Linked DNA regions of Macaca mulatta. The protein of the gene in region 1 interacts with the protein of each later gene in a pairwise test. Links are inferred from orthologs where the notes say so. Each region holds a gene or a part of one and is shown on either strand. Other genes may lie near its edges.

Evidence for each region. The genes of interacting proteins can lie anywhere in the genome.
Region 2: the proteins of CEP76 (region 1) and CRYBA4 interact in binary tests that used the Homo sapiens proteins (3 or more experiments, as listed by UniProt). The two-hybrid records come from large-scale screens. The link is inferred for Macaca mulatta from reciprocal best matches to the Homo sapiens genes CEP76 and CRYBA4.
Region 3: the proteins of CEP76 (region 1) and THRA interact in binary tests that used the Homo sapiens proteins (3 or more experiments, as listed by UniProt). The two-hybrid records come from large-scale screens. The link is inferred for Macaca mulatta from reciprocal best matches to the Homo sapiens genes CEP76 and THRA.

What each region holds. Positions count from the first base shown.
Region 1 is NC_133423.1:83,352,573-83,357,351, forward strand, and holds part of CEP76 (centrosomal protein of 76 kDa), read right to left. Parts: intron 4,383-4,779; coding exon 4,216-4,382; intron 2,802-4,215; exon of another isoform or gene 2,625-2,801; intron 2,121-2,624; coding exon 1,787-2,120; intron 1-1,786. UniProt on the Homo sapiens protein: Centrosomal protein involved in regulation of centriole duplication. Required to limit centriole duplication to once per cell cycle by preventing centriole reduplication.
Region 2 is NC_133415.1:24,935,054-24,940,473, reverse strand, and holds the start of CRYBA4 (beta-crystallin A4), read left to right. Parts: upstream 1-1,825; coding exon 1,826-1,846; intron 1,847-2,433; coding exon 2,434-2,484; intron 2,485-3,092; coding exon 3,093-3,211; intron 3,212-5,314; coding exon 5,315-5,420. UniProt on the Homo sapiens protein: Crystallins are the dominant structural components of the vertebrate eye lens.
Region 3 is NC_133421.1:64,420,426-64,425,711, forward strand, and holds the start of THRA (thyroid hormone receptor alpha), read left to right. Parts: upstream 1-1,691; 5' UTR 1,692-1,819; intron 1,820-5,286.

The DNA of each region.
Region 1 (4,779 bases):
CTCTGTCACCCAGGCTGGAGTGCAGTGGCACAATCTCGGCTCACTGCAGCCTCCGCCTCCCCGGCTCCTTTCACCTCAGCCTCCAAGTAGCTGGGACTGCAGGCATGCGCCACGACACCCGGCTAATTTTTGTACTTTTTGTAGAGACAGGGTCTCACCATGTTACCCAGGCTGGTCTTGAACTCCTGAGCTCAAGCGATCCACCCATCTCAGCCTCCCAAACTGCTGGGATTACAGGCGTGAGACACCATGCCTGGCCAAAAGTAATTCTTATAAGATACTGCTTTTATTTGTAAGCAGAACCTAAGAAAAGAAAGCTAAAGGCAATACAAGTGATGGAAGGAAATAAAAAGTAATAAGGGGCATTCATTTCCAGCAATATAATGGACCAGAGGTATCCTGACCAACTCTTGCTGAAACCATATTACAAACGCCAAGTTTTCCAAAATATATATTTAAATGCTTTGGTAAGTTGACAAGTGAATAAGAAATATATTAGAGGCCAAAGCTAAGAGTAACTGGGAACCCAGAGAACATGTTTGATAAATCAGTTTGCCTTTGATAGCCTCAAAGAACATAGAAAACAGGGCTCACCCAAGGTGGGGACTGGAACAGGGAACCCTAAAAGGCGAATGAGAACTCAATCTTGTAGGAATTTTGGATTCGAGTCCTTTGTTGGTGATACGTGTTACAAATAACTTTTCCCACCCCACAGCTTCAATCTCTTAATGTTTTCTTTTGATGAACTTAAGTCTTTAAGATATAATCTTTTCCTTTATGACTTAATACTTTTTATATCTTCTTAAAGGCACTTTACAAAGGAAATCTTCATGCTATTTGACAAGAGGCTTGATCTGGCTGGGCACAGTGGCTCACAACTGTAATCCCAGCACTTTGGGAGGCTGAGGCAGGTAGATCACTTCGAGACCAGCCTGGCCAACGTGGTGAAACCCTATCTCTACAAAAAATACAAAAATTGGCGGCATGGTAGCACATGTCTATAATCCCAGTCATTCAGGAGGCGGAGACAGGAGAATTGCTTAAACCTGGGAGGTGGAGGTTGCAGTGAACCAAGACCACGCCACTGCGCTCCAGCCTGGGTGGCAGAGCGAGAGACTCCATCTTAAAAATAAAAAATAAAAATAAAAATAAAAGAGGCTTGATCTCATAAGTAATCAGGGAAATGCAGATTAAAGCCAGACATCTACTTAGTTGAGTATAATATGAAAACAAACAGGAACCAACCTGGGGAGAAAAATGAATATGAAAAAAATATAACCCAGTATACATATTTTTTCTTTTAAAAATAATAGAGATAGTGTTTCATCATATTCCCCAGGCTGGTCTTGAATTCCTGGGCACAAGCGATCCACCCACCTCAGCCTCCCAGAGTGCTGGGATTATAGGCGTGAGCCATCAAGCCCAGCCTAACCCAGGATTTTTAAAGGGGCAAATATGTGAATAAGCATTTCACAAAGAGGAAATCCAAATAGTGGTATTCAGCAAAAATCTTGACTCTAAGGGATGTGAACAGGTTCACCATTCTTCATTTCTAAGAGGAAGTAATTCATTCTGTAAGTATTAATTAATTTGGAGATTTCTGAGTCTCAGAACTTAAACTTTCACGACTTTCAAAATTATAAGGTTCATAATAGTAGGGACTATAGTTGTTTTGTTCAGGTCTAGAATAGTGACTGGCACTATCACACACACCAGAAAAGAGTTAAATACAACAATACACAAATGAAAAGAAGTAGGAAACCACAACGGTCTCGGTGTGAATTACCTTCCTGTGCTCTGACACTAGGAGCCTCAGCTGCATCTCAATGTCATTGCTTGTTACTGACGCGTCGATTGTGGACGCGCACAGAGGTGGAAAGGGAGGAAGGGATGTTGTAGCTCCAGGAGCACACACAGATTTAATTGCTTCCTCACTCATGGGCTTCCATTTGGATTCATCATTCAAATCAAAGACACAGGTTTCTACTGCATCAGACGGTTGACAGTTTCCCAGGAACATCTGATGGTTGAAAACACAACCAATCGTTCGATATGGGTACAGTGGTTTGGGCTGTTCAGCAACTGGAGGTTCATCAGGATTGGCAGGTTTATGGATGTACCTAAAAAAATTAAATAATTTTACATATGAGAACTTAAAAATTAAGAAGGCAGCATCTTACTGAGAAAATTATTCTAACACTTAAGGCCATAACTACTTTTTCAGAACTAGAGTTTAATACTTTTTTTTCTTTATTTCCACAATTTGATTACTCTGTATTAATTGTATGGTACATCTTACAATACTGAAACCAACTCTAAACAACAGAATACATTCTGTGTATACTGTTAAGATCAAAGGCCGGGTGCGGTAATACCAGCACTTTGGTAGGCCAAGGCAGGTAGATCACTTGAGGTCAAGAGTTCGAGACCAGCCTGACCAACGTAGTGAAACCCTGTCTCTACTAAAAACACAAAAATTAGCTGGGCGTGGGAGTGCGTGCCTGTAGTCCCAGCTACTTGGGAGGCTGAGCAACAAGAGTGAAACTCCGTCTCCAAGAAAAAAAAAAATCAAAAAAGTTTGCTTTAGATAACATAATTAAAATAATCTGGTTATGCATTTTTAGGCACAACTAACCAAAACATCACTGTGCATGATTATCAACCAGGGAGAAAAAGGACTCAGGGAAATGAAGAGGGCCCATGGCCAAGCCTCTAGAACACATGCATTTGAAGACAAGATGAAGGAAAAACTGCGAACAGCCAGAGAGGAATAATGAATACTGAAAGACAATTACAAGAAATAAGCTAAGGAAAGAGAATATCCCAGGAAGAGAAGTGAGACAGCCAGGTGGAAAGGGGTCCCCAGAGAAACTCCAACCAGCCTGTGCACTGGGAGGAGCGTACACTGGGGTGGAGCCACACAAGTTCAGCAATTTGCAGTGGGGAGGAGCCTGGCCCCTCCTCTTCCTGAGTGGACCCTGGAAGTGAATCTGCGAGGCGGGAAGCACACTAGCGGGCGCTCTGGCTTTGTGGAGGGTCCCTGTTTCCCAGTTTTTTTCCTTTTTGTCCAATAAATTCCATTTTTCTCCCCCTTCAAATTGCCTACGAGCCTAATTTTTCGTGGCAGTGTGACAAAGATCCAGCTCTTAGCTGAACTAAGGAGGAAGTCCTACAACAGAGGTACTCAGCTCTTTCAAAATCTGATGACAGGCTAAAGTACTTCAAAAAATGTGTCCAGTGGATTGCCAACATGGAGATGGTAACCACATCAAATTTTAAAAAGAAATAATGATTTACAACTTGAACTTATTTTCAGGCTTAGGGATGATCATCAGAAAAAAACATATGCCGGCCAGGCGTGGTGGCTCAGCACTTTGGGAGGCCGTGGCGGACAGCCTGCTTGAGCCCAGGAATTAAAGACCAGCCCAGACAACACAGCAAAACCTCATCCCTCCAAAAAAATTAGCTAGGCATGGCTGTGCACACCTGCAGTCCCAGCTACCCAAGAGGCTGAGGTAGGAGGACCACTGGAACCCAGGAAGGGGATGCTGCAGTGGGCTGTGACTGTGCCACTACACTCCAGCCTGGGCAACAGAGTGAGACACTGCCAAAAAAAAAAAAAAGAGAGAAAACTGAAAAAAAAAAGATGCTAATCATACACAACTAGTAAATATAATTTACTGTTTACGAACATCATGTTGGTAAAGAATATTTGAGGTAAAAATTTTCTTAGAGTTCATTTACTTAGCTGCCATAATTGAAGTACTTTTTTACGTAATCACTAAAAAGGCTCTAACTAAAATCATCAACACGTACCTTCAAGTACCATCAATATGGACAAAAAACCCTTATAATTTAAAATACTTAAAACTTAAGCTGGGCACGGTGGCTCACGCCTGTAATCCCAGCGTGATTGGGGGACTGAGGTGGGTGGATCACCTGAGGTCAGGAGTTTGAGACCAGCCTGGCCAACATGGTGAAAACTTGTCTCTACTAAAATTATAAAAATCAGCCAGGTGCAGTGGCGTGCACCTGTAATCCCAGCTACTGGGAGGCTGAGCCAGGAGAATTGGCTTGAACCTGGGAGGTGGAGGTTGCAGTGAGCTGAGATTGTGCCAGTGCACTCCAGCCTGGGCAACAGAGCAAGACTCCGTCTCAAAAAAAAAAAAAACTTATAACTTCATTTTAATATCCTTATACACTTAGTAGACTAACCTGTGTCCTGTTAAACTCTCCCAAAAAGTGATGGTCCCATCAGTTCCACAAGTCATAACCCATGCATGAGGTACTCCTTTTGCCTTGGTCCCAACACAAACAAAGGCTTCTAATCCATATCCAAGAAGAAGGCTGCACAGAAGGTTAGCATGATCTTCACAGTCACCCTGGAAGATAAGACAAATTAAAATGAAGTATTCGTTCTTCCATATTGTTTCCTCATTACTTACTTAAATACAAAGTTATAATAAAAATTTATTGGCCGGGCACAGTGGCTCACGCCTGTAATCCCAACACTTTGGGAAGCCGAGGCGGGTGGATCACTTGACGTCAGGAGTTGGAGACCAGCCTGGCCAACATAGGGAAACCCCGTCTCTACTAAAAATACAAAAATTAGCTGGGCGTGGTGGTGCACACCCATAGTCCCAGCTACTCGGGAGGCAAGGCAAGAGAATCACTGGAACCCGGGAGGCAGAGGTTGCAGTGAGCTGCAATCGCGCCACTGCATTCCAGCCCGGGCAACAAAGTGAGACTCTGTTTCCAAAAAAAAAAAAAAAAGTTTTA
Region 2 (5,420 bases), on another chromosome or scaffold:
ATTAAGTAACATGCCTAAAGTTACCCAGCCAGCAAGAGTGGGATGCAAACCCAGGCAGTTTGGCTGTAGAGGTTGCATTCTTAACCTTTAATTTTCATGCCAACACTTTGTCAAAGTCATGCATTCCTTTTTTTTTTTTTTTTTTTTTTTTTTTTTTGAGACGGAGTCTTGCTCTGTCACCCAGGCTCGAGTGCAATGGTGTGATCTTGGCTCACTGCAACCCCTGCCTCCCAGGTTCAGGTAATTCGCCTGCCTCAGCCTCCCTAGTAGCTGGGATTACAGGCACCTGCCACTGCTCCCAGCTAATTTTTGTATTTTTAGTAGAGACGGGGTTTCACCATGTTGGCCAGCCTGGTCTTGAACTCCTGACCTCAGGTGATCCACCCACCTTGACTTCCCCAAGTGCTGGGATTACAGGCATGAGCCACCACGCCTGGCCCAAAGTCATGCATTTGATAGAGCTGCATTTCACCTTCTTAAAAGGAAACTGGTGTGGCCACTTTACAGGTCATGAGCAGGACTCAGATATCCTCCAGGTTACCCAGATGGTAAAAGCAGCAGGGCTGGATTTCATCTCAGATGATCTGGTTTCCAGTCATGCTCTTTTCCTATGCTGTAAGAGGCCCCTCATAGGCCAATTCAGAGGGCAGGGTTTAGGGACAAGAGGCACACAGCAAATTGTACAAGTCCTGGATATTTGGCAAGTGTGCTACAGTTTGCAAAGCATGTTTGCAACTAACAGCTCCTTTATGCTGCCCACAGAGCCATCTGGATTCATCTTCGGGCTTTGTGGACTTGGCAGGCCCTGGCCTAGACCTCTTCTCCTGCCTCACTTCCCTTCAGGTCCCCTGAGCTCCAGGCCAATTGGGCTACCAGCTCTTTCTTTTTTTTTTTTTTTTTTTTTTTTTTTTTTTTGAGACGGAGTCTCGCTTTGTCGCCCAGGCTGGAGTGCAGTGGCCGCATCTCAGCTCACTGCAAGCTCCGCCTCCCGGGTTTACGCCATTCTCCTGCCTCAGCCTCCCGAGTAGCTGGGACTACAGGCACCCACCACCTTGCCCGGCTAGTTTTTTGTATTTTTTAGTAGAGACGGGGTTTCACCATATTAGCCAGGATGGTCTCGATCTCCTGACCTCGTGATCCGCCCGTCTCGGCCTCCCAAAGTGCTGGGATTACAGGCTTGAGCCACCGCGCCCGGCCGTACCAGCTCTTTCTTGTACACGTGCCCCAAGTTCCCACCTCTGAACTTTTCTTAGAATGCCTCTGCTTCTGTCTAACTCTGTACATATCTTCTTCATCCTTCAGAGTCTAGTTCAAATGCCTCCTCCAACAGGCAGCCTATCCTGATTGCTTCAACTGGAAGAGAAAGGGGAATGAGAGGAGGAAAGGAATAGACATTTCCTGAATGTTTACTCTGTGCCAGGTGTGTTATGTAACCTCACAACAACTCTGTGATATAGTTTGTTTCTGCTGCATTTTATAGGCAGAAATTGAGGGGAAATGACTTGCTCAAGCTCACATAGCTAGGAAGGATGCTTCTGGACTCCTCGTCTAGTGTTCATTCTCCTGGTCTAGTCAGGAACCTTGCGGGGCTAATGAGGGCCAATATTCCACCTCTCTGCTTCTTGGTGGCTGATCCCTGGGGGTGGTGATCTGGTCCATTCCCTCCCTGCTAAAGCCAGAGCTGCTGACAGCTTGCCATTGGCTCTTCAGCCAGGGCTGGCTTTTGTTTCTGTGGCCCAGTTGCTGAGTCAGGGCTTTGTCTCCCAGGGGCCCCTCTTCCCTCCCTGCCTATAAGAGCCTGACCTCGGCTGGTCTCAGATCTGACATGTTCCCTGGGCCTATCTCGGTAAGTCCCAGGTTTGGAGGAGGGATGGGATCAGAGTTCTGAGTGAGCATCCTGGGAGGTGAGGAGCCCAGGTCCCCAGTCCTAGGGATGTCACTGTGTCATCCTGAATGCCATCCTCACCTAACCAATGATGAGCCCCAACCATCAAGACCAGCACCTGCTTCCCTCATTTAAAAACAAAATTATTCCTGTAGCCCTGTTGCCTAAATTTCCACCATTAGAGCTACTTCTTTGAGCTAGGCGTTGTCTTTGGAAGGACTGTCATTTTAGCACTTGCTGGGGTGATGTACCTACCCACCAACAGCCACAGAAATTTTCCCATAACAAGCAGATAAGAGAATACAGAGTGGGGCTTAGAGTCAATGAGACCCAGCAAGGGTGAGTTTTGAGATGGGGATAGGATGGAAGATGGCACTGGTGACAGATGGAAAGGACAGGAGAGGGACAGGCCAAAGCCATGCATTGCCCCTAGCCCAGTCACTCCTAGACTCCCCATGTGGATCCTGACCAGGTCTAAGCCAGCCATCTACATAAAGAGGACAGCAGAGGGACAGGGTGGACTATTATGATGTTCTTCTCTTCTGTAGGAAGGGGCCACGATGACCCTGCAATGCACCAAGTCAGCGGGACACTGGAAGGTAGGAAGAGGCATGGGGAGGGCGTGTCCAGGAGGTGTGGGGAGGGTTCAAGTCCCCACGAATCCTAGGAGGAGGGTATTATAAATGCCTATTTCACAGAGGTGCAATCAAGACTCAGAGTCGAGAAGGGACTTGTATGTCACATACAGGGAGGTCGAATGTGAACTTGGGTCTTCTGGTTCCCAAAGTTGACCTGTTACACTCTTTGGCAGAGATTGCAGTCTTTGGGCATGATTTCTTTGACCATCTGTGTGTGTGTGTGTTTGTTTTATAAAGCTTTTGGATTTATCATCAGCCTTTAAAAGCCTAGAAGAACCACATAAAAGTCCAGATCTAGGGATCGTATTGAGAAATTGGAAGGTCTGGCTTGCATTCCCACTGGGCAACCATTGGTGGCACTGGGAAGAGGCCACCCATCTACCTGGCACCTGTGCTCTCTAGTGTCTCACAGTCCTCACTGTCCTTGCCTGCCTGGCTCCTGGAGGCATCTGAGTTTGCAATCCCTGCTTTACCTGCCAGATCCTGGGGTGAGCCCTCAACCCTTCACCCTCCATGGGACTCTGATGCGGATCTCCACCTTCTTTTTTTTTTTTTTTTTCCTGGCACAGATGGTGGTGTGGGATGAGGACGGCTTCCAGGGCCGGCGGCACGAATTCACGGCCGAGTGCCCCAGTGTGCTGGAGCTTGGCTTCGAGACTGTGCGATCTTTGAAAGTGCTGAGTGGAGCGTGAGTCTAGGGGGATACTGAGTTGGGGTAGAGGGTGGACAGGAAGGGACCTAGAGATGAGTGCTAGGACTTTTAGCTATTCTAGGTCCTCTTTTCCTAGTGTGCCCTCTTGAAGCGCTGAGGAGTGTGCAGGACTGCCATGTAAGGTTATGCAGGTTGTGCACGGCCCAACAGTGGGAGGGTATCATTTACCCAGACCCTGCCCACTGGATGAGGCAGCTCTGCGGGAGAAGATCCTTAGAATCCAGGGTTGGATCTAAAAATGTCCCTCCTAGCCATAAATTGAAAGCCAACATCACTCACCAAAAGTAGAAGGTAACTATAAAAATGAATATAATGTTTTAATGCTATTAATTTTTAGCTAAACAGTCTTGTTGCCAAGCATGTGGCCCGATCATTTTTTGTAAAAAAACAAAACAAAACAAAACAAAACAAAAAAACCCAAAAAACCAAAATTAAAAAACAAAAAAGAGAGTGAGAGAGAGAGAGAGAGATTGTGAGATGTAGAGAGGTGTTAAGGACACAATAATAACACACCAAGACTTTCTAGACCAGTGCCATTCAGTGGACCTGTCTGCAATGATGGAGATGTTCTACATCTGCACCATCCATTTCAGGGCCACTGGCCAGATGTGACCATTAAGGATTTTGAAAGGTAGCCAGCATGACTAGAAAACGGAATGTTTTATTTAATCTTAATTTATTTAAGTTTAAATTTAATTAACTACATGTGGCCAGTAGCTACCATATTAGATAGAAGGTTGTAGAAGGTTGGAAAGCAAGTAGAAAGGAGATATGGCCAGCAGCTACCATATTGGATAGCAGGCTCTAGAAGGTTGGAAAGTAGTTAGAAAGATGTGGCCAGTAGCTACCATATTGGATAGAAGGTTCTAGAAGGCTGGAAAGTAAATAGAAAGGAGATGTGACCAGTAGCTGCCATATTGGAAAAAATTTCTGGAAGGTTGGAAAGTAGACAGAAAGGAGATGTGGCCAGTAGCAACCATATTGGATAGAAGGTTCTAGAAGGTTGGAAAGTAGCTAGGAGATGTGGCCAGTAGTTACCATATTGGATAGAAGGTTCTAGAAGGTTGGAAAGTAGATAGGAGATTTGGAGTCACTTAATCCTATGCCTGTGAGTGCCACCTGAGGTCATCTTGGGTGATTTTTACACATCTCATGCTTTAGTAAATACTCTTTTAGCTTCTGATTTGTGCAGGTGGGGAATGGGGGTCAGATAGGAACAGAGACTTTCTAGGGGTATGTCCAGCAGGCTGACAGACTCAGCCAGTAAGCAGATAATGAGTTCGGATAGATTCAGACAGTTTATTACTTACACAGACAGCAAAGGCAAGGTGCGCATGGTGTCAGCTTCCTGTGTCCCTTGTCCTACGGGATGACACCAAAACAAAGGGGGCCGAATGACAGGCAGCAGGAATGGTGGGAACCCTGTGTCTGAAGAACTGCTTCCATGCTTCAACGATAGCTTGCTATTGTCACCTGTGGGGCGGTGAGGTGGAAAGCCCCACGTCTGAGTGGCCAGACAGGCAGATGAGGAACTGCCTCGTGGAAGCCTCTCACAAGAGAGGGAGGAATATAAGAGATGGCCTTGCAGTAGCTCCTCACAAAACGGCCCGTCTCCTACACCCTGGCAGGATCACAGGGAATTCCACCAAGGTGAGGTCAGTCTGTGATCAGCTTTGACTCTGCGGCCTCTGTGGAAACCAACAGAGGAGCAATGTTGTCAGGGCACCTGTGTGAAGCAGTTTCCCTACCTATGGGACACACAGCAAGTCAGGTCTAGAGCCGGGTCCCTCAACTTCGGCACTACTGATGTTTCTGGCTGGATCATCCTTTGCAGTGGAGGCTGGCCTGTGTATTATGGGATGTTTAGCAGCATCCCTGGCCTCTACCTGATAGATGGCCTTCCAAGCCCCTCTCCTAATCGTGACAACCAAAAATGTCTCCAGGCATTGTCAAGTGTTTCCTGGGGGCACAATCACCCCTGAATGGTTGTGATTGTGACCATTCTATACCCATCTGCTGGTCTAGAATGCAGGGTGAAGGGGACGCTTACCTCCTGCACACTCTACCCTCTGTCTGCAGGTGGGTGGGCTTCGAGCATGCTGGATTCCAAGGGCAGCAGTACGTTCTGGAACGGGGCGAATACCCGAGCTGGGATGCCTGGGGTGGCAACACGGCCTACCCCTCT
Region 3 (5,286 bases), on another chromosome or scaffold:
CTGCAGCCTCCTGCCCCACACTGCAGCTGTTGCTTGTCTCCTGTGAGCCCAGACTGAACACAGGTTCGCTTACTGCATGGAGGCTTCGCACGCTGCAGCCTCAATTCACCATTACAGCTGCCACTGCACACCACAGGCTCCCTTCACCCATGGCATGCCCTCAACACCACCACTGCACTCTGCACGCTATAGGTTTCATCCCAGTTGCTTTTCTCATCTCCATAGTTCCAGGGACCCCAAGAGAGGTACCCTCCCCTCCACCAAGAATTACAAACTCCAGTACCCCCTGTGAAAGAAGTGGCTTCAACAGCACTGAGGATGCAGGTGGCTGATACTAAGACATGAGCAAGGGCAACCCAACTTGGGTAAGCTGTGGGTCAGAATCCCACACTCACCAAGTGATTCTGCCCAGTATAAACTGGGCGATTAGCCGAGCAGCTCCCCCTAACACACACACACTCGCATACACACACACACCCCTCCCCAAGAGCAGACTGTGTAGCCAGAGCCCCACCCTGAGAGCCGTGGGAAGGCCGTGGCCCCCGCTGGTAAAACTGGGCTAATGACAGCAGGGGAACCGGCGGGGCCAGGGGGGTGCTGGGGTAATTAGGGCTCAGCCTGGCGCTAGGAGATCCTGAGATGAAAGGTGCTCTGGCGTCACTGGGTTGGTTTTATGTCCATGAATGCAGGTGTGTGGTGTGTGTATGTGTGTGCTGGGGGTGGGGCTGGCATGGTGGAGACCTCTCCTTTGGGTTGGGTTAGGGGGTCCATTTGTACGCAGCCCACCGTCTTCCTTAGGTTGACTCTGGTACCATTTGGATTTTCGTGGGAGCAAACATGGGGGGAAATACCATCACCGGGGAGCTAGGAATTGAGGGGGTATGGCAGCTCTTGTCCCCTCCCCAGCGCAGGAGAGGGAGCAGATTGTTGGGGAAATGGCTGGTGACAGAGAATAGAAAGAGCCTATATGGAGAAGGGTGACGTTGGAAAGGGGAGGCAGTGGTTCGGTATTGATGTTAGAAATGAGAGGGGAGGGAGGTAACGGGGAATGAGCCCCCACAAGGATTAAAAACGTAAGATGATTGAAGTTAAAAGGACATCAGGGGTCACCTGCCCAGCCTTCGCACCTGAAGCTTGAGGAAGCTCTGCCCCCGACAGCAGTGGCGATTTGTCAAGGTCACACAGTGAGTTACTGGCGGAGAAGGGACCCGAACACCCAAACAAACTCTACACCTGCAAGCATTTGGTGTTTAGACTTTCTCCCCCATGTATAAGGTGCAGGCGGCTCGTCGATACTTCCTCCTCCACCCCCACGGTGCACACCCGAAAACCCCCCAATTCTCCCGGCAAGCAAAGGCTATTTTTTAATGACATCTTTTCCAAAATATGTCACCAAGTACCCACTCCTGCGGGAGCCGCCCGGGCGGGGGAGGGCGAGTCAGAGCGGGGCGGGGCAGAAGCGGCCGAGGGGCGGCCGGGCCTCTGGCGGGGGTCCCGGGGCGCGGCAGGGGGCGGGGGGCGGGGGCGGGCGGCGGCGAGGCGGCCTGCAGGGAGCAGCCGCGAGCCGGCCGGGCGCGCCGAGCCCGAGCCCCAGCCGGAGCGGGGCGGGGGAGGGAGGAGCCAGAGCGGCCGCCGCCTCTGCCGGAGGAGCCGCGGGGCCGCCACACTCGCCCCCCGCCCCCCCCGCGCTCACTCGCACTCACACCCGGGCGCAGGAGGCGGGCGGCCCGGGCCCCACCGGCCCCCCATGGACGCCCCCAGCACGGGGCGCTGAGACCCCCGCGTCGCTGCCCAGCCCGGTCCAGCGCGCCACGCCGAGGTAAGGAGGAGGGAGCGAGGGCATTAATATGCAAATGCCTTGCGATTGATTATGCAAAGCCGCGGGGCTCCGTGGCCAGCTCCCAGGCGGGCTGGGGGCGCCCAGGGGGTACCCGCTGCCAGCCTCAGCCTTTCCCGGCACCCCAGTGACCCTGTCACGAGCCCGGGAGCGTCAACTGACGCCCTGGGGAAGGGAGGTGTTGTAGGAGGTCGGTGGGCCCCGGGGTTCGCAGGCGGAGATGGCGTCCGAGCCTCCCCCTCGAGGGCCCGCCCGGCCTCTGTCCGGCCAGTCTGCTGCGCATTCCCGGGCCGGGCCCCGTTGCCGGCCGCCGGAGCTCCCCCCGCCCGCCGCGCCGCGGTTTGTTTACGGTGCGCCGGAGGCCTGCCCCCCCCAGCCCCCACCCCTAGCCTCTGAGGCCGAGTGGCCTTTGCAAAGCTGCCTCCAGCTGCGGAGGGCAGTATGAGTGCGGTGGCGGTGGTGGGCTTGCACGGGTCCTGGGAGAGGGAAGTTCCCCCCCTCGCTTCACCCGCCTCCCAGTTGAGCATGGCTGTCTGGTTGCAACACTCCTAATTGCAAAAACGCGGCTGTTGGGGGGAATGTGTGTGTGGAGGGGGTGTACTTGATGGTGCCTAGATGATTAGGAGAGTTGCTGGCTGGGGAGGACAGGGAGAAATGGACCTGTTTGTGTACCCCACCTTGTTTCCCTCCCCTTGCAACGTGTCTCTGGTGCCCCTTCTGCATGTGGGGCCCTCCCTTGTCCAGCGTGAAAGAAAGGCCTGGGGGATGACAGGGGCAATTGAAAGAACCACCGTTCCAGGGGTGGGGGTGGGGGACACAGAAGGAAAGACAGTGAGGTGGGAGCCTGCCCCTCAGTGCTGCCTTTGGCTCCAGGAGGGGGAGGGGATGAAGGGGGCTGTTGTCCAAAATAAGGGGGGGAAGCAAAAGTGACATGCAGACACAGAGATATGTCCACACAGACAGCCACATGCACACCCAGGGACACCCAGGCGGACTCAAGGACAGGAGCTACTGGACACACCCACATGGGGACAAGGGAAGAGGCAGGCTGCTGCTGCACCGTGGAGCTCAGACGGGTGGGATATACCCACGGGAGACCAAGAGCATGGGGACCGACCCATGCACATACCCACCCACACACAGGGTCACACGGAGATGCTGTCACACACTGGGGCAAGGAGGAGTTGCTGTCACCCACACATAAAAAGTCACTGTCACATGCATGCATGCACACAGAGCAGTTGCACACAGCCGCACAATTACAAAAGACCCTGTCACTCACAGGCACACACGTGCTCGCATGAGCCCAGTCACACAGACATCATTGCTTGCCGTGACAGTCGCTATCACTCAGTCAGATGCAAACACAGTTACACATCAACACATGTATACACAACTTAGCAACAAGTATTTTCCTGGACTCTTACTGTGGAACTCTGAGGTTCTGCAGGCAACAAAACCCTTGCTCCCAAGAATATTAAATTTGGCTGTATGAAAAGGTGTTCCTGCGTAATGGTGCAAAGCCTGCATTCCTAATGACATCTTCTTGGTCTCTATCGATTGAGATACCACCCTACTAGACAGTGAGCTCTTAGAGACCTGGGAGAATCACTTAAAGAGCTCTGGATGCCACCCAGAGCCTAGCACAAGGGCTGCTCTGTAAATACTTGTGAGTTGATTGACTGTGGAACCTGCAGACACAGGTGCACTCATTTGCACATGGTCCCCTGAACTAAGGTACAGAACGAGTTCATGAGGCCCAGGTCCCCACAGTTGCAGGTCCACACCAACAGTCGTGTCCACACAACCCCAGATGCACACAACTGGAGCCTGTGCAGCCAAGCACACACTTAGATGCACACAATCACAGACTTTTCCCCTTCAGCTTCCTCCTCCCTTTTTCCTCTAGGCTCAGCCACTGTGCGGGAATGGGCTTTTTTTTTTTTTTTCTTTTTTTTCTTTCTTTCTTTTAGAGGGACAGAGAAACAAGAGCAAAGACAGTGGGTTCAGGGGGGTTCCAGAGGGCCGAGTCATGGGCTCAAAGCAGTATCCAGTGACTTCTAGAAGCTGGGATTCTCTTGACTGCTGGGGGAGGGGAGAGCTGCTCTTCTCCCTACCCTAAAAGCTCTGGGGTGTCTAACTGCCCCTGCTCTGAGTCATTTGCCTGGGCCTTTCCTGGGAACAGTCAGTCACCCCCAGCTGAGTTCCTGCATCCCACCTTGAGTCTGGCCCTTTTTCCCACCTGGACCCTTCTGTCCAAACTTGGAAGCTTTCCTTAAGAGGCCATCGGCTGACGAGTGTCTGTATGAGTGATGTGTATTTTTGACTTGGAATTTCTCTCTAACTCTGTCTCTCTTTCTGTTGTTCTGTCTTGCAGTGTCTGATTCTCCCTCCCTCTCTCCTTTTTCCTCTGCCAGTCTGTAACTCTCTCTCGCCCTGTCGCTACCCCCCGTCTACCCCTGTCCTTGTCTCAGAGCTGGGGACTGGCAGCAATGTTCTTCATACTTTTCCAGTTGTTAATACCCAAGCTCCGCCCCTCGGCCCCCCCTGTGCAGCCTCTGGGGTCAGCTTGAGGTTGGGGTGGGGGGCGGGGGGCTCAGCTGGCTGCTCAGGACTTCCTGCACTTCCTTAGTGCTGCAGCTGTGGCCAGCAAGTTTTAGGGGCTGGGAACGGGGGAAGAGAGGGGGGGTCAGCCACTGCCCATGCTGACCCCTCGGGCCTGCATGTCTGGAGACACCAGTTCTGTGGGCACCCTCAGGGTGCAGGCTGCAGCCAGCTAGCAGCTCTTAAGCAAGCCCCCCACACTGGCCCAAGCTGGAAAAGAACCGCCCCCATGGGCAGTGGGGGAGCTGGCAGGACCCTGCTGAGTTGGGTCCACTGCAGGGCTCACAATGGCCTTTCTCCACACCCCTGGCAGCTGAGGCCCACCTCAGAGATGCCCAACAGCTGTGTCCTCTTTGCCCAGCCTCAGGGCCTGGTTCTGAGGGCACAGCTGCCCAGACTAAGTGTGTGCTAAGCGAGGCCCACCCATGAGTGCAGGTTCCAGCCTAGAAGGGGTACCTCTTCCGGAAAGGGAATTTGAGGAGGGGGGACTGGGGTAGGAGACACAGAGCCCAGGGGCACCAAGCACTTCTCACCATGCCCCCCTCTAGCCTTGGCCTATTTGGAGGTGGAGGCACCCACAGGGCAGCTACAGAGGGGAAGGACTGAGGCTTGGTCTCAGGGAACATATAGCTGGATGAAGGAACAAGGCATTGGGCTGGGCACAGTGGCTCACGCCTGTAATCCCAGCACACTGGGAGGCCGAGGCAGGCAGATCACCTGAGGTCAGGCGTTCAAGACCAGCCTGACCAAGATGGTGAAACCTCATCTCTACTAAAAATACAAAATTAGTTGGGCATGGTGGTGGGCTCCTGTAATCCCAGCTACTCAGGAGACTGAGGCAGGAG